Linked DNA regions of Alligator mississippiensis. The protein of the gene in region 1 purifies or fractionates together with the protein of each later gene. This does not show direct contact. Links are inferred from orthologs where the notes say so. Each region holds a gene or a part of one and is shown in the gene's direction. Other genes may lie near its edges.

Evidence for each region.
Region 2: the proteins of SIRT6 (region 1) and G3BP1 purify together in Homo sapiens (affinity purification with mass spectrometry; 3 studies listed by BioGRID and IntAct, with this or other methods). This does not show direct contact. The link is inferred for Alligator mississippiensis from reciprocal best matches to the Homo sapiens genes SIRT6 and G3BP1.
Region 3: the proteins of SIRT6 (region 1) and USP48 purify together in Homo sapiens (affinity purification with mass spectrometry; 3 studies listed by BioGRID, with this or other methods). This does not show direct contact. The link is inferred for Alligator mississippiensis from reciprocal best matches to the Homo sapiens genes SIRT6 and USP48.

Annotation. Positions count from the first base shown.
Region 1 is NC_081839.1:5,436,110-5,443,363, forward strand, and holds the start of SIRT6 (NAD-dependent protein deacylase sirtuin-6), read left to right. Parts: upstream 1-4,181; 5' UTR 4,182-4,233; coding exon 4,234-4,299; intron 4,300-5,445; coding exon 5,446-5,573; intron 5,574-7,254. UniProt on the Homo sapiens protein: NAD-dependent protein deacetylase, deacylase and mono-ADP-ribosyltransferase that plays an essential role in DNA damage repair, telomere maintenance, metabolic homeostasis, inflammation, tumorigenesis and aging.
Region 2 is NC_081832.1:75,769,804-75,777,309, forward strand, and holds the start of G3BP1 (ras GTPase-activating protein-binding protein 1), read left to right. Parts: upstream 1-4,469; 5' UTR 4,470-4,577; intron 4,578-7,506. UniProt on the Homo sapiens protein: Protein involved in various processes, such as stress granule formation and innate immunity. Plays an essential role in stress granule formation.
Region 3 is NC_081836.1:2,276,491-2,283,828, forward strand, and holds the start of USP48 (ubiquitin carboxyl-terminal hydrolase 48), read left to right. Parts: upstream 1-4,286; 5' UTR 4,287-4,325; coding exon 4,326-4,459; intron 4,460-6,339; coding exon 6,340-6,460; intron 6,461-7,285; coding exon 7,286-7,338. Other genes in the region: LDLRAD2 (low-density lipoprotein receptor class A domain-containing protein 2), read right to left, coding at 1-283, 864-960.

The DNA of each region.
Region 1 (7,254 bases):
CTGCTGGGGAAGGGGCCAGGAGGGTCTGCTGCTTCACAGAGGCAGGGAGATGGGAGAGGATCTTCCAGGAGAGAGAAGCGAGGGAGGAACTTGAGGGAGGAATGCTTGGAGCAGCCAGAGCGGTAACAGGTACATGCACCCCAAGGTGACAGGAAGGGGCAGTGGCCTAAAGGCAGAAGACAAGGGATTGCCGAGGCTGCTATGGAGCCTGGCGACTGCAAGACGAACCAGCTGCCGATGCCTGGAGTAGTCAAACTTCATTACAACTCCCCCACCCTGGAAACGTTTCGGGGGGGGTTTCCTCCTTCAAGCCCTTCCCAGCTGATGGCGTGCAGGAATCTCCCAGTGACTCATAGGGGATGGAGGGGGAAGTGTTAGGGGCTAGCCATTGCATTATCTGCCTGTGGGAGGGGAGGAGAGGGGGTGTTGGAGGAGCAGTTCCCGTACTTGGAACAGGCACCATGGGATTTTAAATGAGCACAAGCACTCGGGACCTCTCTCTCACTTGTCAGTGGAAAAAAACACCCACTCCAGCAGCCGAGCACTGGTTCATGGGTTCATCATGGTGCCCCCGACCGACCGCCCTCAGATACTCACTTCACTCTTCTTAAACCTGGCCCGCAGGCTCTTCATGGTGGCTTTGTCCCCGTGCTCTGGGCTGCAGGGGGTAGATCTAAACGGGGGATACAAAGCAGCTGTAAGATCCTAGCAAAACTCTGGCCCTTCATCGGCAGTCTCACAATCAGTCTCAATATCTTCCTGTGCCTCCTGCCCTGAGGGTCCTGATTCGGGGTGCTCACCATGTTCGAGAGGGGAGAGGACTGGAATGGCATTACATGTGGCATCAGACCACGGCCCTCCACCAGCCGGCTGCAGGGCATGGACGATGGGCACTGTAGGGGCTCAAGGCTCTGTAGGTACAGACAGGACACTCAGCCCCAGGCAAAAATTTTGGCTGACTCTTCATTTTGGCCCTGACCCTGCAGGATAACTCATGTTAAAGGTCCCTCCAAGCTGCCGGTCTCTGACCAGCACCTCCTCAGCACCTGGGAGCTCACCTTGGTGCCCAGGCGTGTCCCAGCCATGGAGGGAGGAGACCTCCTCTCTGTGCCTGTGCTAACACAGCCCCCACCACAACAGGGGTGCTAGAGGCTGGTGATGCCACAACTGGAATATAGATGGAGGGGCCAGGTGGAGTCTGTGGCATTTGCCCTGGCTATTGGGTGTGCTCATGTGCCCGGGAGAGAGCGCAGAGTCCCGAGACAGGGCGCTTCCTGCCTGTGCCTCTGTGGGAAGGGGAGAGGCTGGCAGTCTGGTTGGCCTTACTTCTGCAGCCTCCACCTCTGCAGACCCCATCCAACGCCCAAGACCTCCCTGCCCACGAATTCCTGACCCTCGTGTCCACAACGCCCCGAGGAAGAGGCGGAGGCTGGATGGGTGTGTGGGGGGCTGCTCCCTTGTCACCTCGTGCCTCTGGGCAAAATTCCTCCCTGGACCCCTTTGAGGAGTATTGGCCCCCCCCCGGTCTAGCCCTGTAGCCTTGTGTTTGCTGCCAGCAGGCCTCCATGCCCCCACCCTCCAGCCTCAAGGTAGCTCGACAGCCCCCCCAAAGGTACCAGTCTTTTGGGCAGCTGTTTATTTCAAATGCATGCACCCCTTCTCCACCCGCAGGCTCTTCCTGCCCCGCTGCTTGAGAACGCCGGAGGGCTGGGTCTCCCGAGGAGGCATATGCCTCCACATGACTTCAGTGTGGGCTCCCCAGGGCCTGAGGCACAGGCAAATTAAGGGTCCCCCATGGCAAAGAGACAGAAACCAGGAGTGCTCATCCTCCATCCTCTCGTCTAACCCCCCCCCAGCCCTGCCCTGCTGCACAGCCCTCTATGCCGTGCTGTACCATGCTAGCACCGGACAGGAACCCAGCCCGTTGGCATTGCTGTCAGCTGTCAGGGCCATTACTTTTGCCTAGGGACCTGCCTCCTTGCCAATCTAGGTGTTTGCATTGGCTCTGGAGCAGTCTCCCAGGATGTCAGAGCCCCTGGGAGTCCCTGCACTTGTACAGAGCAATGAATGACTTCATATATTAGCCCTGACTTGTTCAGCTGCAGCAAGAGTCCCTCAGTCCTGATCGCAGATGTGTGAAACCTGCAGCTCCAGGGCTACCGGACTTTGGGCCAGTCTCGCATCTTCCCTCCAAGCCCCATCCCTACCTTGTTGATACCGTCAGGTGCAGCTCGGGCAGGTTCTCACTCCTCTGTTACACGTTCAGTGCCAAGGGCAGAACAAACTCTGAAGAGTCTCCTTACTTCTGTCTTGATTGATGGGAGCTCACCGTATCAGAGGTGGCCCAGCCCGGGTGAGGCTGTGTCACTGCGAATGAGGAGAAACCAGGGGAGGGACATCGCTGCACTGGGAATTGGGTTACTTACCTGCTACAGGTACGATTACCTTGCTACAGCGGGCTGCAGCTCAGCGCTGCACGGTGTCCAGGGCACTACATTACTCTGGAGCTGTGTCTCCATCTCTGAGCATCTCCATAGTCCTGAGTAGCCCAGATGTCACAGGTGCAGAGCACTTCTCATCATCAGGCCCTCCATACCCCTCAGGCTCCCCACTAGCTCTGGGAAGCCAGGGTAATTATTCTCCATGCATACCATACCGTTAAAGAACCTGGAAAGCAGCAGCAACAAGCAAGGGAATGGAGGGTCCTGTTCATGGATGGCCTCTAGGCCCTGATCCTGCAACAGGCTCCACACCTCGCAGGGACATCCCCCATGGAGCAGCCTGGGGACTTGGTTTGTAGAGCTAAAGGTTTCCCTTGATCTTCAGCGTGCAAACATGACAAGATGTTGCCCCGTGATTCCTTTTCTTTTCTCTAAGGCTTTGCTAGAGCTGAGGGACCCTCCCACAATCCCTGGGAGGTAGGTATTGTTTTTTTCCACATTACAGATAGGAACAGAGAGTCACAGACATGGGAAGCGACTGCCTCAAGGTCACTTGGTTGGTCAGGAACTGAGGTGGGAAAACCAGGCACATTGAGCACCAGGTCCAGGGATCGCACAATCCTCTTTTCTGTGCCGAGATGACTGGAACCTTTAACCCACCCGGAGCTCAGCAGATCAGGACCTGTGCTTGCTAATTAATGGATTTTTTTTCTCTAGCATCTATAGCAGGCTGGGCACAGAGTATTTGAGCAAGTAGACATGCTCCCAGCCAAACAGTGGACTGTAAAATATCTTGCAAAGACTATGAAGGGAGAGAAAGAACAATGCACAAGCCTAGACTTCGCAGTGGCAGGAGGCCTGCTGAGGAGTGCTGGAAATGGCTTGCAAAATCCAGTACTGAAAGGTACCATTGGGTCGGCTTTGTCCTTGCCCCCTGCTTAGGCATCGCAGGGCTTCCACTTTAGGACAGGTGAGGCTGCACATAGGGTGTTCCCCAAGCAGGAAAGCACCAGGCACCGCAGCCCATCCGTGGCCCCACCAAGTCCCAGGACCTCCCAGTCAGCCTCCGGCCAAGCTGGCCATCTGCCAGACCAGGACAGAGGCTCAGGCTCAGGGAGCCTGGTGATGTGGGGCTGTCCTCTCACTTCTCCAGGCAGTGTCACTGGCGGGTGCCCGCAGGCTCCCCCGACTCATTCAGGGGGCAGCGGGCGCTAGTGGGCGCGCTCTGCTCCGTGTCCCCTTGGATCCCTTGTTTTGCACCCGTGACCGCGCTCCCTTCCCTGTTTTCTTTTCAGTCGTCCCAAGCGGTCAGCTGTTGCGCTCTCCCTTTCTAACGGGGCTCCCAACTTTCACAATCAACAGGCCTGGAGAAGCTACAGGGCACCTGCTGCGCCCCTTAGGCAGCCTGGCTCTGCTCCCTGACAACTGTGGGATACGTGGTATTTCTTTAAGCGCCAGCTCCTGGAGTCCAGGGATGGGGGGGATCCCCTGTCAGAGCAGCAGGTCCTGCAGTGCTGCTGCAAGGAGGACCCGCTGTCCTCCCCCAGAGCCAGGCACATCTCTCCCCCTGCCAGGTCCAGGCGCCTGCCCCAGCTCTGCCAAGGACGGGCAGAGACCTTTCTGCCAGGAACCAACATGGCGGCACCGCCACCACCGCCCGGGGCTCGTGCGCATGCGGAGTGAGGCACGGCGGCTTCGCGACGCCCGGCGCGCTTCCGCCCGGCCGGCAGGAATTGACAACAATGAGAACTTTATTGACAGCGGCGCGGAGGCGGGCGGCGGCTGCGGGGCCATGTCGGTGAATTACGCGGCCGGGCTGTCCCCCTACTCGGACAAGGGCAAGTGCGGCCTCCCCGAGGTGAGTGGCCGGCGGTGCAGCACCCCTCGCCCCTCCCCCACCTTCAGCCCCTGGGGGGGGCTGCTGCCCCATCCCCTCCCCTCCCCCACCGCCCTTCCCCCCCATCCTAGGGCCTGGCCCCGCCCCCACCCCACCTTCTGGGCTCTGGCCCCGCCCCCTTGGGTCTAGTCCCGCTCCCCATCACCCCCTCCTGGGGTTTGGCCCCCTCCATCCCCTGCCCAGGGGACAAGGCACCTGTGCTCCCCGCGCCCCCACTCTGGCAGGCGCCGGGGGGGCAGTGGGGTGCCAGGGTGCAAGCCCCGCTAGCCCAGCCTGCCGCGGGGGTGCCCCCGGCCCGGGCGCTGCAGAGCGCTCCTTGCCCCAGGAATTGGGGAGGCCTGGGCTCTGCTTCCTGCCTGGGCAGGGGCCGGCGCTCACCTGTAGCTGGGGTGTGTGTGTCCCCCACACGCAACATGGCAGGCGTGGGTTGGGGACCAGCGGCCACGTGCCATCAGGTTGTCAGCCCGGCGGGCAGGGGGTCTGCACCGCGACGTCTGTCCCCTTCGGTGGAGCAGGGCCTGTCACCCCAGGGAACGGCTGGTGTCCGTCCAGCCCCATGGAGACTAACGTTGCCTTGGACGTGTTGCTCGGCAGCGTCGCCCGCGGGCAGCGAGCATTGGGCTTTGGTCTGGAGGCTTGGCCTGTGTCTCGCGCCATCCTTCCTGCAGGCCGGCGGCATTTATTAGCTGCCTGAGAGGGGCAGGGCTGGGCCTCAGGGGCCCCGAGATCTTTTTCGGGTTCTGCTGTGGCCAAGTCATGTCACTTAGTAAAGTCTCAGTTTTCCCACCTGTAAAACGGAGGCAAGGAGGGAGGGTATCTATTGTTACCTGCTTTGAAGAGAGCAGCAGTGAGAGGGCAAAGTATTTCTCAGCCAGTTAATTACTTGCTGAAATCCAGAGCAGCTCCTTGCCTCTCTGAAGCAGATTGGAAAGGAAGATCTGGATGTCCTGAGCGGGGAGAAGTGTCCTCTCTAAGATAATGCTCTTTCTACCCTGTTAAGTGCTGATGCACTTTAGCTATCAGCAGCAATGTAATCTTGTTCTCCGTCTCTTCCTGCGCTTGGGGCCATGTGGGAAACTTATTTCTGTCTCCATTTCTTTCCATCAGATCTTTGATCCTCCGGAGGAGCTGGAGAGGAAAGTGCATGAGCTGGCCGACCTGATAAGGAGTTCTTCCAACGTGGTGTTTCACACTGGGGCTGGGATCAGCACAGCCGTAGGGATCCCCGACTTCAGGTGAAGGAAGAAAGATCCTGTGTTGTTGAAGCAGAGTGGGATTATGGGTAACGTGGCATGCTGAGCATTAGCTTTCTCCTGGTTGCTATGCGGCTATAAAAATTGATTTATATTTCTGTACTTCGGTTTCACCATCTATAAAATCTCTGTAGTGCACAGGCAAGAATTCATGTGGGTGATATCTTGTACTGGAGGAACTGCGTGGTTGGCGTAGGCTTTGGGGTTGCAGTATTGTTGCTCAGGTCTCTGGGAGAGAAGCAGGCACAGGTATTTTGCAAAAGTTTAGAAAATGCCTTAAGATTTGCGGAGGAAGGGGGCTATGAGGAGGTGGGGGTGTGATGGAAGGTGCCTGGAGTGATCACACTGATGGTGTTTGCTAATGAAAAGTGATTTAATCCTGGCAGCATTGCCAGCCCTGGCTTAGTGACTCAGTGGGTTAAGTGCTGTAGGGAAGATGTCCTGTTTCCTCATTAATTATAGCTGTTGTTTTTCTGATTTTTTTTTTTTTTTTCCAAAACGCTTCTCTGTGGCTGTGGGATGTTGGGATGTGAAAAGGTTGCTTTCCTTCTATGAACTCCTAGCTGTAGTTTGGTCTCGGGTTTGCTACTTCATGGCCCAAATGGGCTGTGATCGTGCGTTGAAGTCCATGGGACATTTCTCTGGTGCCGGTTCTGCAGTAGTAAAACCGTATCCCAGCGTTCACCACTCAGTACAGTTGTTTGGTGTGTGCTGGGTAGCGGGGGAGCCCAGAGAGACTGTGAAGCTAGGTAGTTACGTTTGAGGCTGTCTCCTAATACTGAGCAGCTTCTGTATCTCTGGGCTGGTCTGTTCTTTTAAACAGCAGGTGACACCATGCCTTTGGAGACCGGCCTGGGAAGCTTGTGAACAGGGGTTGGGTCTGTGGTGCCCACTGGGGCGATTTCTTGGGGGATTAAGCCTGGTATTTTGCCATAGTTGAGTTTCCCATTGTGGCTGCTCCCTGCTGGTTCCCTTCGCTGCTGAGGGCTGTGGCTACAGCCAGACCCATGCATCTCATCCCTCCAGAGAGGGGATTGTGTGTATAAACTGATGCCGTGCAGTTTCCTCTAGATACACCCGCTCCCTGGTGATGCGGCAGTACCCAGAACCTCCCTGCCCGGTGGTTCCCCTGGCCCGCAGGGCTCTGCTCTGACAGCAATAATCCATGCTCAACTATGAAGGACACTGAAGTTGCCCAAGGGTGTATCACAGCCCAGGCAAGAGCAGGTGTTCCCTTGGTGTGAAAGCACGCAGGGGAGGGGATGTTTTAAGGGGATGTAATTAAAAGCAATGGGATGAAAATGAAGAAAAAACAGTGTGGGCAGGACATAGGGAAGGTCTTGGTCACAGAGGCTCAGTGTATGGGCTGGCGTCTCAGGGAAAGAAGTGGACGCACCATTTCTGTGTCCTGCAAAGCATGGGAAAAACTTCCTTGTGATGTTATCTAGCCTGCAGCGGGATCAGCTGGGTCCCACCAGTCTTATCCCGCATCAAAGCTGCCACGTGGTGCGCTGCTCCCTAGGCAGGGGCCTGTGCTGCTGTCCAGGCTGAACCCAGAGATTGCTTAAGCCAGGTCCTAGGAGGTAAACGTTACAGTGGCTTCTTCTAGCTTGCTCCACTGCTCCTGGCAGCCTGTTTCCCAAACCGCAAGCTATGGCTTTGC
Region 2 (7,506 bases), on another chromosome or scaffold:
AGAAAACTCAAAACAACATCCTGAGTGCAGGGACAGGACCCTGTAGCCGGGAGCCTGCGGGTTTGAGTGCCAGCGGGAGCATTGGCACAGCTCAGTCGCAATCCCCACCTCTGAATAGCAGCAGAAAGGAAACCAATTCCTTCCCAGACCCATGTGGCAGCCCACAATGCCAATAGCCTGGGCAAAAGCACAGGCTGGGTCCACAGAGAAGCATCCCTTCCTCCCGAAATGGAGCTGTGGTGGGTGCGTGTGTTGGGAGGGGGGTGAATCAGGGAGGAGTTCCCTTCTGCAGCCTTCCTCTACATGTGGTGCATCTCTGCCCCTCTCTCCCGCCAGGCCAGGCTCAGCCACCTTCATTACATAAAAAGTGCATCCCCCTTTGGACGGCTCCGAACTGGCCTGGTGAAGTGGAATGGGTGTAAGTGCAATGGTTGAGGAACCGGGCTGTCCCGTACCCCGGACCTGCGCAGTATGTGTCCCCTGCCCACGCAACTGTCCCTCTAGGCCGTTCTGACGGCGGCGATTCCTCGGTGCCTGTCCCCCCGGGTCGTAGCTCCCGTAATGCCAACTCTCATGAAAAAAATCTCAAGACTCCTGTTTTCCAAGTCATATTAACTGTGACTCACGATCTCCTGATTAGAGAGAAAAAATCTCAGGGGTTTGTTTTCTTCTGGTCCGAGTAGAGAGCGCCAAGCTGGTAAGTCTATGGGGGGGAAAGAAAGGGGGGCAGATCAAGGACCCTTGCTCCCAAAACCACAGCCTCCCCATGCAACAGAGCCATGTGTGTATGTGTGTGTGTGTCCCTCACTCCCAAGCCACAGCCCCGCTGCTGCTTTCACTCCTGCCCTACAGCACCCCACATCCTGCCAAGGTGTACAGGGACACCCCCCCCCCCCCCGTTGGCTCCAAACCCCACCCAAACCTTCACAAATAACACCTCCCCCACATACACACACACACACACACTTCAAAACCAGCATCTCATGATTTACATTCCAAATCTCTTGATTTTTAAGAGTCTGTCTCTTGCTTTTTGACACTGGGGAGGTGGCAATACTGCAGCTCCCAGGAACACGGGGTTTCAGGAAAAGTAGGAAAGCCCCCACAGAAGTAGGGCAAACCGAGGGGAAAGACCGCAGCAAGTGTCAGGACAGCACGGGGGTTGCACGCGAGAGCGCTCGCTGCTCAGAACCACAGCAGCGCACGCCCTCAGAGGGAATCGCTGCACTCTCTGGTTCGAAAGAGGAGGAAAAGCCAACCGTGCAGTAGTTAACGTTGCTAGTGGGTGCGGGGGTGTTGCGTTACTGGTGCTTCCGGGAAAGACATGCCCACCGTGCAGCAAGAAGCAATACAACTAGTGTTTTTTGCAGTCACGCGGGTGGCAAGAACCATCCTAGGTTCATGAGCCACATCCGACGAGGCAGGATTTAGACCAAACTGCCCTTTATTTCACCCTGCTGAAAGCAAGTCTAATCTACACTATAAGTGAGCCCGCTCCCTGGGATGGAAGATATTTCATTAGCAGGTTGTGGGGGGTGGCGTGTGGTTCTTAGGTTTCATCTTGGCTGGAGGAACTTACCTCGGATAACCTGATAGCGCTGCAGGGCCTCACCCACTTACATATTTTTCCTCCCTTCCCCATGGGGGTAATGAGCCAGAGCTGGTAAAATTTTGGAAGAAAGGTAAGGGATTTTTTTTTCTTTTAAAGAAATAACAAAAGATTTCCACTCTTAATTAGGAAATGGATTAAAGCTGATGTCAAGTGTGCCTAATAATTACTAGGAATTTGATTGGGTTTGGGGGGGGGGTTGAATTTTTCCTAGCTAAAGTCTGCTGGGGAAAATAAAGTCTCATTTGAGTGTTGGGGGGTGAATTGGGGAGGGTCAAGGCAGCCATGTGAGCCAAAGAGGTTTGAAAGGCTGGTGATTCAGAAACTTTGCAGCTGGTTTGATGTGGATCCTTGGCAGCTGTGAGGGATTCAGTTTAGCACAGGCTGCCCTGCATAGCATGATTAAAGGGCTAATATCAGTGTGGGATACAAAGGTTGATGGGGGAGTGGGAAAGGGAAATGGCTGTGAAGATAAGGCTGGAGCTGGTTGCGTTAGGCTAGCTGGGAGGCATTGGCTGGGCTTTGTTTGGTTGCTTCGGCTCATGAGATTTAAGAGATTATAGGGGTGTTGTGTGGGGTGACAGTCTTGTCGATGCCCCATGTGAAGGGTCCGTGTCCCAGTCTTTGTAGGGACTCCCTTGCGGTCTCTGCTTGGTGGGGAGAAGCAGTCTGCTTTTGGCCCCTGTGTTTGCTTATCCCCCTGGAGAAGCGGAGCAGGGGAAGAGCGTGTGGGAGCTGGGTCCCAGGTGTGCGGGGGAGAGAGGTGTTTCCCGTGGGGGTGCAGAGATCCCAGGAAGGATGGAGCCGAGGCTGGGAAGAGCGGGGTCACTGCAGGACTGGAGTGAGGAGCGTCGGCAGAGCGGTGCGGGGGGCCTGGAGCAGGGATCAAAGGAGTGCAGTAGGTCAGGGTGGAAATATGTCGGCAGGGCTGCACGGAGGGGGAAGTCACAGGCAGCAGCTGTCTACTTCATGCCTGGCTCAAACTTCCCTTTCTCCCGTATCTCAGGTGGAAAAATCACCAGATATCTCACGCTCTGCTGCCTACAGCAAGCAAAGCTGTTCCACAAACCTGGAAAAATACCCATTTCTAATAGGTGCCCCCTCCCAAACTTGCTTTCTCCCTGGGGGCATCAGCAGCGCATCCCACCTGGAAGACAACACCAAGTCTCCTTAACACAGGGGTCAGGCTGGATGCTGTTTTGCCGCAGCCTCTGGTCACTGCTCTAATAGGAGGCACTGATCCGGCTCTTTTGCAAGGGAGAGGTGACTTGGGAGCAGGGATCTCTGCGCTCTGACGGGTGACCGAGGTCCCCCTGCACGGCGGAGAGAGGGGGGCTCTGTTACGTGGCTGTCCTGTGCGGTCACTTGCCTCCTATTAAACTCAGCAGGGGCCTGTGCCTCTGATTTATGAGCTGGCGGCTCGCAATGCAGCTCAGTATATAAATAGCAAGGGGGGGGGGGGTGCAGAAAGGGAGGGTATTCATGCCACGGATGGCATAAGGCCAGCCCCATCCTTGTGAATCCCTGCCTGAGAGCATGGGGGAGGCGGTTTCCATGACTTGTCCTCCCGTGGCCTTTGATTCCTGCTGTCCCAAACCTGGGTAGCATGTGGCAACGCCCTGGGTAATTACCACTGCTTCGAGCTAATTAGTCCAGCAACGCTCCTAGGCTAAAAGCTGCTTGGGGAGTAGCATCTCTGCTTGCCGCCGGCGGTCCAGCGATGACCGCTGGTTTGCACGACGGTTTCTACCCGTGTGTTGGCTCGGGACGAGGCCTTGCTATGGGGTCTGATATGACCCCCTCTCTGGAGGGTGCCTGGGTGGGGACGGGGTAATGCGCGTGGACGGGGAAGGAAGACTTGGCCTTTTTGGAGGAGCTCCTAGGAGCAGGTGGATGCCACCGGCGGAAGGTGCCCGGGGAAGCTCTGCGATCCCCATGGCCAGAGAGGTGAGACCCCGCGTCGTGCTGCTCCTGGGGCCGGGGTGCAGCGCTCCACCCTGGACTGGGGACGTTTTTAGGCGGGGGGAACTTGGCTTTGCATCTGTTTGGTTGCCGCTTTGTAGCGGAGAAGTGATGGCAGCCACGTGCTGGGCCATGGGGGTGGTCGCGGAGGGGCCGTGGGTGCCCGCCGAGGCTCTGCAGGCTGGAAGGTGCGTGTTGGGCCGGGCGTGGGGGGCCTGCAGCAGCCCTGCAGGGAGATGGGGCTGGGTCTTGTACGCATTAGGGGGAATTCATGAGTGAGTGGGTGGGTGGGGGGAAATCCCGGGTTGGGAAAACCAGCATGGGGAAAAATTAATGGGGCGGGGAAAATCACGCGTGGGGTAAGTGTGCTGCGGGTCGCGCGTGGGGCTGGGACAGCGCGCAGCCGTGCAGCCTCCCCTCCAGTAGGGGGCGCTCTGAGCAGGCAGAGCCGCGGCCCCTTTAAGACGCCGCAGCCCGCGGCCTATCGATCACGGGCAGGCGCGCGCGCTCATTGGCTGAGCCGCGCCAGGGTTGCCGCCCCTGCCTCCACACGGGGTCTCCCTCAGAAGGCCCACGGGCTGATCGCTACGGCTCAACCGCACTCGGCAACCCGTCCTGACTGACCCTTGCGCCTTAATGGCGATGGGAGCGTCGCCCTATTGGCCGGGCGGCCAATCCATCCAGCCTTATCCCACCTCCACGGCTTCCCTCTGGCTTCCTACTGGCTGCTCCGCGCGCCCGGCCGCTCCAACAGCGCCGCCGCTCCGTAGGGCGGCTCGCCTGCCGCTCAACCCCCTTCCCGCCTCTTTGCCCACTCGCCAGCCAACCAGCTTCCGAGTGGGCCAAGTCGCCGACCTCCCATTGGCTGTGGGCGCCGCCGTGGGGCTAGGCTGCGCCGCGGCTATATAGGGAGCAGCCGGTGCCGGAGCACGCCGTTGCGTGAGGTGCTTCTCGTCGCCCGGTGCTGAAGCGACGCCTCCCGCTGCCGGCCCCGCTCCGCTCGCAGGTCAGCGCCGCCGCCCGGCCCTGCTGCCGCCGGCGGTTGGTGCCCCGGGAGGGGGGGGAGGGGCGCGTTCCCCTCACGCGCGGGGGTGGGGCGGGCGGGGGGAGGGGTCGCGGCCCAGCTTTGTCCTCGCGCGTGGGGAGGGAGGGAGCGGGGGGGGGAGGGGCGCGAGTCCCGCTCCCACGTCCGCCTCTTCCCGCCCCAAGAATGAAAGAGATGGCGGCGGCGGCCGCGCACGAGGGGCCTTGGGCGGGGAAGAGCCGGGCCCGGCTCCGCACGAGGACACCCGCCTACTTACCGACCGGCACACCTACCTACCTCCCCCCGTCTAACTACCCACCCACCTGCCTGCACACCCACGTACCTATAGCGACAACCTCTCTGTGCAGCTATCCATATAATTAATCTATATACATATATATATATATATATTTTTTCCCCCCAAAAAAACCTTCCCTACAAACGGATTTCGGGCAGGAGCGGGTTGAACCAGACTCGCTGGGATCGCTGGTTCGAAACCTCCCTGGGTTGGTTTTTTTGTTTGTTTGTTGTGTCCCACCACCCAGCACGGTGGCAATTCTCCTTCGTGACGTCTCGCAAGCGTGCTGCCTTACAAAAGTTCGTGGCAAAACAGCCGTGGCTGCGGGGGGCTGGAAGGGCCCTCGCGAGATGGTGGGGTCCGGCCCCCTGCCCTAGGCGGGGACGAAGATGGGCAATAGGATGTCTGCGGGGGGGGGGGGGAATTAGGCAGGATCTGATGTCTTTTAAGCTTTTCTTTTGAGTGGTTACCGAACTATCTGCACGTGCACGTATCGGGGGGTCTTGCTCCATCTCCCACAAATTTAGACTTCGTAAACCACTTCCAAAATACCGCGCAGGACGTAAGCATGCATGGTAGATACCTTTTTTTCCCCCAAAGGAACTGAGCTCTGGTTGCTCAGCTGCATTTTTTTTTTTTTTTTTTGCTCCTTTTTTTCAAACGTGAATGTTGAAGTCATTTTTTTTTTTTTTCCTCATTTAATTTATACATTTCAAACCTGTGGAATTAAATATTAGCGTTCGTGGGTTACACGCCTGTCTCCTCTGTGTAAGCTTTGGGTAGGTGAGTTTACATTAGGACTGGATGTAACCAATACAGAAGCAGGAAGATGTAAGCCACGTAGGAGAACACGGGGCAGATGCGTTTCTGTCGGGATGAAGCTGGCTGCACAAATACAAACCGACTGGAAATCTCTTGTAGGTTCCTTCACATAAAGTGCATCGCAAGGAGTTTTGCGTGTGGATCTTGCTTTGCTCTAGGCAGCCCCAAAGACAGCTAACTCAACAGGAGCAAAAGGAGTATTTTGTGCAATGATCTGCCAGTTCTTGTTGCCTTCAGTGGCTGTTCAGGTGGAGATGGTCCAAGTTGGTAAAGCCCCAAAGTTGGACTTGCACATATTTAAAAAAATCTGTTAACACTTAACCTATAATGTCCACAGGCTATTTCTTAGTGGAAGTAAGTAAATGGCTTAAAGTCCTTTTAAGCTTTAAAAGGACTGTTTATAAAACACATACATGTTTTAAGAGATTTATGATGTCAGATCTTTGTCCCCTCTTGTGCTTCAGGAGCATTGTCCGGACTAAAGGGTAAACCAGGATCCTTTTAGAATTGCTGTTGCACTTCAGGTTGCTAGGCATATATAGCATGTGGAGCAGCTTTGGGGTGTAAATTGTGCTTGCCTGTGCTCTCTTGCACATTGTATTGTGCCATACTGTACATGGGAAAAGCAAGAAACTGAGGGCAGGTGCCTTGTATTGTAGCTACGAATTGTTCGAGGGCTTGGCTCATAACTTTAGTAACTTGGAATGGCTGAATTTGACACATGATGGCCCATGGGAAGAGTTAGGAAACATTTATGAAATTAACGGCTGAACTTTCAAATGCCATCACTCAAGCCTTTTTGAATGTTTTTCAGTGACATGGCAGGTGGGGAAGTTGAAGAGAAGTTGGGAAGCCAATTAAACTGAAATGGGTCTGGGATCTCATGACAAGAGATGCTGTCTTGTGAATATGCACATCAGTTTCTCAGCCTGCCATACTTAATCTTTGATTTAATTTAAGTAACGAGACTTTCTGTGGAGAAGCTGAACATGCGCACAATGTTTGAGATGCGTTTTAATTAATGTAACTGACTGAAATTCCAAATCATGTTAAAATATTAAGTATGACTTTTCCAACTAAAACTATTATGGATTCTTTGGCTGGAATTGTTTTCAACAGCCTTGACTAGGGCAGAAGAAAGGTCTGATATTAAATACAAATGATAGAATATCAGACATGCTCATTTCATACTCGACTGGCATTGAACATTATACTTGTCTAAGGTCTGAGACTTAATATAGTAAGGCTTGGACCAATTCCAGAAAGAAACAGCTAGTCAGTTATAGCTTTGAGGACTGATCCTATTTGAAGTATCAGGGTAAGGTACGCATTTTCTATGCTGTTAGGGAGTTAGGGGCTGATTTAAGAACTGGTTCAGTAGCCACTTGCTGCTTCTTTTGCAAGCAATTCCCTCATCTAGAAGAGAACTGCTAAAAAGTGTATAGACATTGGATTTCTTAACTTTAGCACTCATGCACAAAAAACTGTATTAACCTGGTATTATGCTTCTAGGGTTAACTGTCATGGTCAAAAACCCTTCACGTAGCACAAATACACGTGGTGTTATGTTCGCTAAGCTTCTGCAGGCACTGATCCAATACCAGAGATCAAAACTTTCTTATCCCTCGCTTAGGACCAGCAGTTGAGAAGACACTGCGTCCTAGGGTTTTACGTAACTTGGTATAGAAATGCCCTTGGCAGATTATAACTTTGCTGTGCCTGGAAACTGGAAATTATTTGACCCTCTCAATGATGGAGTTGGTCTCAAATGTGACTGGCAAAAAAGGCCCT
Region 3 (7,338 bases), on another chromosome or scaffold:
CGGTCGCCCCCCGACGGGGTCTGCGGTGGCCTGGGGCTGCCCAGGGGTGGCAGGGTAGCGGTGGTGCTGGGTGCAGGGCCGCCGGGCAGGGGCAGGCGCAGCAGGCTGTACACCAGGAAGAACCGGAACTGGAACTGGACCTTGTCGCGGGGGGCCGCGGCCTGCATGACCAGGTGGCAGTCGGTGCCCACAGCCACGAAGTAATAGCGCCGCGAGTCCCGGTGAGAGGTGACAATCATGCCGTTGTCCTGGAGCGTCTGGCCGCAGAAATCCACCAGGCTCACTGTGGAGGAAGAGCCCACGGGGGTCACCATCCAGTGCTGGGACAGACCCAGCCTGGCCCTGCCTTCTGGCTTTGTGCAGGAACAAAGATCAGAGTCACCTGTCTTTTATTTCCCCCCATCTCGGCCATTGCAACAGCCTCAGCACGGGAGCTGATGGACCAATGCCCCCCATGAGCCCCCCACTATCACACTCCCCCTGAGCCTTGGTTTCACTTGTATGCATTTGGGGGCAGAGAAGGCACAAGCAGAAAAGCATGGGCCTAGAGCAAATCCTGAGCTGGAAAACCACTGCTGGCACACAGCGAGGCCGGTACGTATGACCACTGCCACCCATAGCTATGTGGTCTCCTCTTTGCTCGTGTGAAGCATGCTCCTTTTGGTGCAGCAAAGCAGTAGCTTCTCCATTCAGTCCATATCCTATTCACCCTCTTTAGACACCCGTATGAATGAAGAGTGCTGGAAAAATACCCTCAAAGTACCCTCAAAGTCCAGGAAACCTCTGGTGGAAACAACCTACAGGTTTTGAACTCTAGCCCCCACGCAGAGAGCAAAGGAAGCGTCCTGGAAAGCCCGCGGTACCTGTCTCGATGGATGAGACCTCCGCCACCGCACAGCTGAACAGCACCAGCCACCCGGACAGCAGGCGCAAGCAGTGCCTCGGGCTGCTCTTCGCCATCGCTTTCCACCGGCGCAGATCCCGAAGTCCGGAGCAAGAGCAGGACGCGCCGTCTGGGATGGCAACAGCTGGGAGACTGAGGAGCGCGGCGGCCTCCCGGCTTCCCGTGAGCAAACCAGGCTGGGGGCTCCTTTAGCGTGGCCTGCCATGGGAACAGAGGGGACAGCAAAAGGCAGCAGCCCTGGGTGTTGATTAAAGGGAAGAGGCCTTTTTTTTCTTGCTGCTGTCTGGGCACAAGGACTCCCAGAGCTTGCCCTTTGTCCTTGCTTCATCCTGCTTTTTTACGGTCAGGATTTGTGTTAGGGGGTTGCCAAGGAAACTCCAGGAGTTTGATGGAGCAATGGAAGAAGGGGTTGGGGGGGGGAGGACAATGCAATGTGCTGCCCAGGACTTGCATCCACGACAAGGCTAAAAGGCTAGTGACAGCATCCCGGCACGGCCCAGATCCGGGCAGCGAGGAGGAGGTATGGAGGGCACAGCTGCGGGGCAGACAAGTACCAGAGCTTTAACCCAGAGAGGCACGAGGCCAAGCACTGTGAGCTCCAGGCCAACAACGAGAGGGTTGGGTTTGATTGGGAACGGATGAAAACCACTGCAGTCCCCCATGCAGCAAGCTCCTAAGGCACCTGGCCAGCACACGCCAAAGCACCGGGCTGAATACAAAGCAGAGGACGGGAAGTCAAGAAACACGAGGGGTTTGTGTCCATCGGAGTGGCTGCCGAGACGGGGGAGAGACCGCTTTGCAGCAGGCGAGCCATTTGCTGCTGTCACAGGTTTTGGCCCCTGCACATCTCTTCGCCGGGCTGCATTGGCAGAGCTGTTAAGGCATCTTGCCAAAGCTGCAGAGGCATGAGTTCAAACCCTGCTCCAAAAGGGTGCCAGAGGCTTCCCCTACGGATGCAGGATGGAGAGGGAAAGGCAGCTGCGATGCCAGCCATGTGGGGTGCTGGCCACAGAACGGAGCACGTCTCAACCACAGGTTGTTCGGTCTGGGATGACCTTTTGGCATGACCATGTCTTTGCTGCCTCATCCCACTTTCCCCTCCTCTTCTCCCCCCTCCATTGCTTGGGCCCATTCGCCTCCCTTCTTCCAGTAGCAGTCTGCGCAATAATTAGGGCACAAATTCCCCACCGGAGGATGACTTTGAAATAGCCTGTGAGTGCTCCAGACTGAGTTAAAGCTCCCCTGAATTGGGACGATGGTTCACTGGAAAACAGCATGCATATGCTAGCATGGACCCTGCACCTGATAGCCACCAGACACTTGGCTCCAGTCATTTCTTTCTAATCTCGAATGCAACAACTTGCTGTCTCTGGGACGTCCGAGCTGTGTGCCCAGCTGGCATAATGGAGAATGTTTTTTATCTCCAAACACCTACCAAAAAGAGCAAAGATCTGGGTTGTTTTAACTGGGGCGGGGGGCACCGACTTTAATTTGAAAAACAACATACCTCGGCACGGAAAAAACAATTTAAATCAATGTGTGTTAAAAACCCAAATGGTTAAACGTGGGTAAACATGAAACGAGTGACCTGGTGGATCACACACCCAGTGCCTCACATGAGATGATAATGTCCCTGGGCTAAATAGCTTGAATTTTCTCTGCGTATCCCTTGGTAGTCATGTTTGGCTATGGCTCAGCAGGTGACTAACATAGTCAGGCCTTCTAAGAATGACATTTATGGATGCTACAGTCAATTTGCTGGCTTCCAGTTTTTGTTGAAATAAGCTTTCCAGGCTGACATCTTCTTTGGACAAGTAATTGCTTCTTTCTTGCAAATCCAGACTTGGCAACTTGCCTTTACCACCTCTGTTGTAAAGGCATCTGGTTCCAGAGCCTGCTCCGACAGACAGGTTAAAAAGCAATCCTTGCCTAGCGCTCGCTCTCTCCAAGGAATGTGTTGTGAAGCCCTTTGCTTCCTGGGCCAGAAGCAAAAGCCCTGCCCTACCAACTCGGGCTAGACACCCGCATCTTTTCCTCAAACTCAGTCATTGCAAAACATTACCGACGTGTCACCCAGGGGAGTCTTCAGATACAGCAATCTGAGCCAGTTCAAACTGCCCTGAGATCCACTTCGATGATCTAGGACAATTAACCACAGAGCAGCACCGGAAAAGACCATTTTTAATGGGTAATTTTTATTTATTATGGCCTAATGCAGCTCCCTGAAGTCTTCTTGCAGAATGCGCCTAAGAAATAACCAAACTGGAGGCAGTTTTTAAAATTATGGATCAATAGCAGGGTGACTAAAACAGACGCTGCATCGCTGTGCGCACGCAATGCAGAATGAACGGCAAATCCTGATACACGACGGAGATCAGAAAGCTGTACGCTTAAAACTCGAAACAGCGCGTTGATTTTAACACGCTGGAGATTTTGCACGTCCGTAGCAAGCACACCTTGGTTTAAAGCAGCCGCCCTGTAGCGACGCGCGTATGGTGTCACAGCGCTGTCTGCACGCGGGTCAGCTCGTTCAACGGCAGTCCGAGATGTGCTCATAAAGCACGCCACACTGACGTCTCTGGTGCAAATACAAAGGGCGGGGAGGTGTCTTTCGTACCAGCCAAAACTCGCAAAGCGCCTCGACACCGGCAAAATGTCTGCGTGGCTTCGATCAGCTCAGCGCATAACAGACAAACCTTGGCTCTACTTATGGAGGCGGGAGTGGGAAGTGATCTGTCCCAAGAGTTGTGCTTCATCTAAAGTGTGCACGTGTGGGTGCGCGTGCAAAAGAGCTCCCTGCCATTGCTCGCGTCGCTTCGCCCCCGCGGCACTGACAGGGGTTGCGGCCCCTGGCACCAACCCCGTCACGCGGGCAGCGGGGGCTCGACTAGAGACACCGGATGGGCGCACGGGGCATCCCGTGGCAGTGGGGCAGGTGCCGCCGCGCGGCGAGGGACCGGTGCCACGGCCCGTTGGTGGGGCACGAGGATGGCGGCTGTGGCTTTGCCGTGGCCCCCGAGGCCACGCTTGTGTGGGGGGACCGCGGGGGGGCCACGACCCTTGGACTGGGTCAGAGCCCCTCAAAGGCTCTGCCGTGCCAGGGGTCAGAGGTTTGCACGGGGAGCCCAGGGGGCACAGCCCAGACCCCCCACAAGAACCCCCTCACTAGGCTCAGCAAGCCCCGCCCCCCTCTGCCCCTTTATATAGGTGGTGGCCCCGCCCCTTCGCCTCCCGAGCGGGAGGGGGGAGGAGGAGGAGGAGGAGGGCGGTGCCTCACTCAGCCCCGCCCCTCCACCCTGCGTGGCGGCGCGCGCTACGTGCGTCACACCCCGCGCACCGCGGCGCGGCGCGCTGACGTCAGGCGCCGACGGCGCCGCCCGCGAGGGCGCAGGCGCAGTGGGCGAGCAGGCCCGGGCCCGCCATGGCGCCGCGGCTGCAGCTGGAGAAGGCGGCCTGGCGCTGGACCGAGACGGTGCCGCCCGAGGAGGTGGCGCAGGAGCACGTGGAGGCGGCCTACCGCATCGGCCTGGAGCCCTGCCGCCGTGGCGTCTGCAGGTGCGGGCCCGGCCCGGGGGGCTGCGCGCCGTGTCCGCAGGGGGTGCGACGTGTGCGAGGGGGGTGGGGAGGGCTGTTTATATCCCGCTAAAATGTTTAAATCCCTTTTAAAACTTCCCTCGTTTGTCAACACGGAGCAAAAGTGCCCCTGTGGTGAGCGGAGCGGCTCGCGGCCGGCGTCGGGGTGTTTCTGTAGAAATCCATTTAAAAAACCCCCAAAAACCCACCTTTTGGGGGGACGCGCTGCCTCCGGGAGTCGAATCGGGTCGCTGCGCGTAGAAATCGCTTTTTAAACTTGCCTGAAGTTTCTCCTGCGACGAAAGCTGCCGCCGGGACCCGAGCCGGGTCAGGAGCCGGCCTCCGTCTGGTCCGGCCGGACACGGCGGCGTTGCCTGTGGAAATCCCCTTCGCAGCGTCGAGGAGACGAGACACCCGCTCCCCCCGCGAGGACGGGCGGCCCGGCCCGCGGGAATCGAACCGGCCGCGGTCCGTTCGCGCCCATCGCGGAAGCAGTCCCGGCGCGTGAAACGAATCGGAAACGTCTCGCTCGCCGAAAGCCGGTTCGAGATCCGGCGTCGGGACGTTCCTGCCGCGGCGCTGGCGACACAAATCCTTTTTCAGGCTCGCGCCTGGTTTGTAAGACGGGACGGACGTTTCTCCTGGGGCGAAAGCCGCGTCTGGGGATCGACTTGGTTCAAGATCCAGCCGCGGTTGTTTCTGCCGGGGAGATGGGGGTGCTGTCTGCAGAAACCCCTCTAAAAACGCACCGCCTTTGTGGCAAGTCTGCCTCTGGGGATCGAGCCTCCGTCTGTTTCGCTGTAGAAATCCCTGAAACACTCGCGTGGTTTGTAAAACAAAATGAAACTTTCCCTTGTGACGAAAGGCTGCCTCTGGGAATCGAACCGGTTCGCGATCCAGCTGCAATACGTTTCTGCCCGTCACGTGGGGGATGCCGTCTGTAGAAATCCTCTTTTAAAACTCGTAATGTTTATAAGACGGAACAAAAGTTTCTCCTGCGATGAAAATTGCCCCTGGGAATCGAACCGGTTCAGGATCCAGCCTCCGTCCGTTTCTGCCAGACCTGCAAGGGACGTTTGCTGTAGAAATCCCTTTAAAAACTGACACGGTTTGTAAAACAAAATGAAAATTTCTGTTGGGATTAAAGCTGCCTCTAGGAATTGAACCGGTTCAAGATCCGGTGTCAGTACCCCTACGAGGGGTGCTACCGATAGAAATCCTCTTAAAATAAAGCGACTGTTCCTTACGTGGTGAAAGGCTGCCTCTGAGAATTGATCCTGTTCAAGATCCAGCTTAACTTACTCCCATGTCAGACAGGTAGGGGTGCTCTCCGTAGACATCCGTTTAAAAGCATAAGTTGTTTGTAAAACTAAATGAACCTTTCCCTTGTGATGAAAGCCTGCCTCTGGGAATCGAACCGGTTCAACATCCAGCTTCAGTATATTTCTGTCAGACATGCAGGGGGCTTACGCTGTAGAAATCCCTTTAAAAAACATAAGGTCATTTGTTAAAATGAACATTTTTAATTTTTTTTTTAGTGATGAAAGCAGGGTTTCTACTCCTCTCTAGTGACATACCTGTGGTTGATGAAGCGTGCAGAGGTAAACAGCTCTAAATGCTGCCTCCAGCCTACTCAACAGTAGACCAAACCTATAGGCTAGAGGGTAAAAAGCGTTTGCTCCCAACAAAAAGACTCTCAAGTTACGCCTGCATGTTTTTAGTCCTGTGTTCTGTTTTCCTGTGTTTTGCTAATTAAAATAATACAGTTTGCTGTTGCTTCCTGGTTTGGGGGGTTTGTTTTTGTTTTCGCATGATCTGAACCAGCGGTCTTTGTTTTCATGAGTGTGTTTGGTTTTTTGTAGAAGAAACTGCAGAGGAAACCCAAACTGTTTGGTTGGGATTGGCGAACACGTTTGGCTGGGAGAAATTGATGAGAATAGCTTTCACAATATCGACGACCCAAATTCCGAACGCAGGAAAAAGGTAAAAGAGATTCTTTGTTTCCTATACAAGCTATAACCCCCAATCCAGCAAATAATCTGCGCACACAGGATCTGAAGTGTTTGCACCATGAGGGCTGATGAGCGAGTACGTCTTCTGTCTGGGGATAGATACTGTGTTGCATGATTCCCTGCTATGGAGCGTCAGCTCTCCACCACAAACAAGACCTGAAACTCTCCCTTCTCAAAGATTTGAGTTGCGCTTTTCTCATTTCTCATCTGAGACCGACTGTCACTGGCTCAGCATATATTTTACAACACTCCTTTTATTTTCCTTGACACTGACAGGTTGTCTGCGCACCACTGGTGGTATGCGTACCACAGATTGGGAACCTCTGAGTTAAAGTATTACTTGCCCAGTCTTGCTTGTCAGGTCTGAAAGGAGGCAGGTGGGTTAGAAATCCATTCAGATAATGCCCAGAGAAGCAGCATAACAGACGCATGCTGTGCTGTGCTCATTGTAGTCATGCAGTTGGGGAGTAGAAAGTTTGAGAAGGTCCTCTATAAAGCCACCGGTGCTCAGTACCAAGAACAAAGTACAAGCATGTGACAGCTGGATTTTTTTCTCCCAGTGTGTTCCTTTTGGGGTTTTGGGACAATGTGCCTTGTAGTTTTGTGTGACAGGGTTAATCTGTGTAGTTTTGGGAATAGGTTAGTAGACCTGCAGTTGTATGGGATGGTTTGGATGGGGATGATCCTGTGTTGAGCAGGAGGCTGGACTAGATGACCTCTTGACATCCCTTCCAGCCCTACTTTCTATGATTCTTTGTAGGAATAATTATAACTGGTGCTTTCTTCTTTATACTAGAATGCATTCGTAGGCTTAACAAACCTTGGAGCCACATGCTATGTGAACACTTT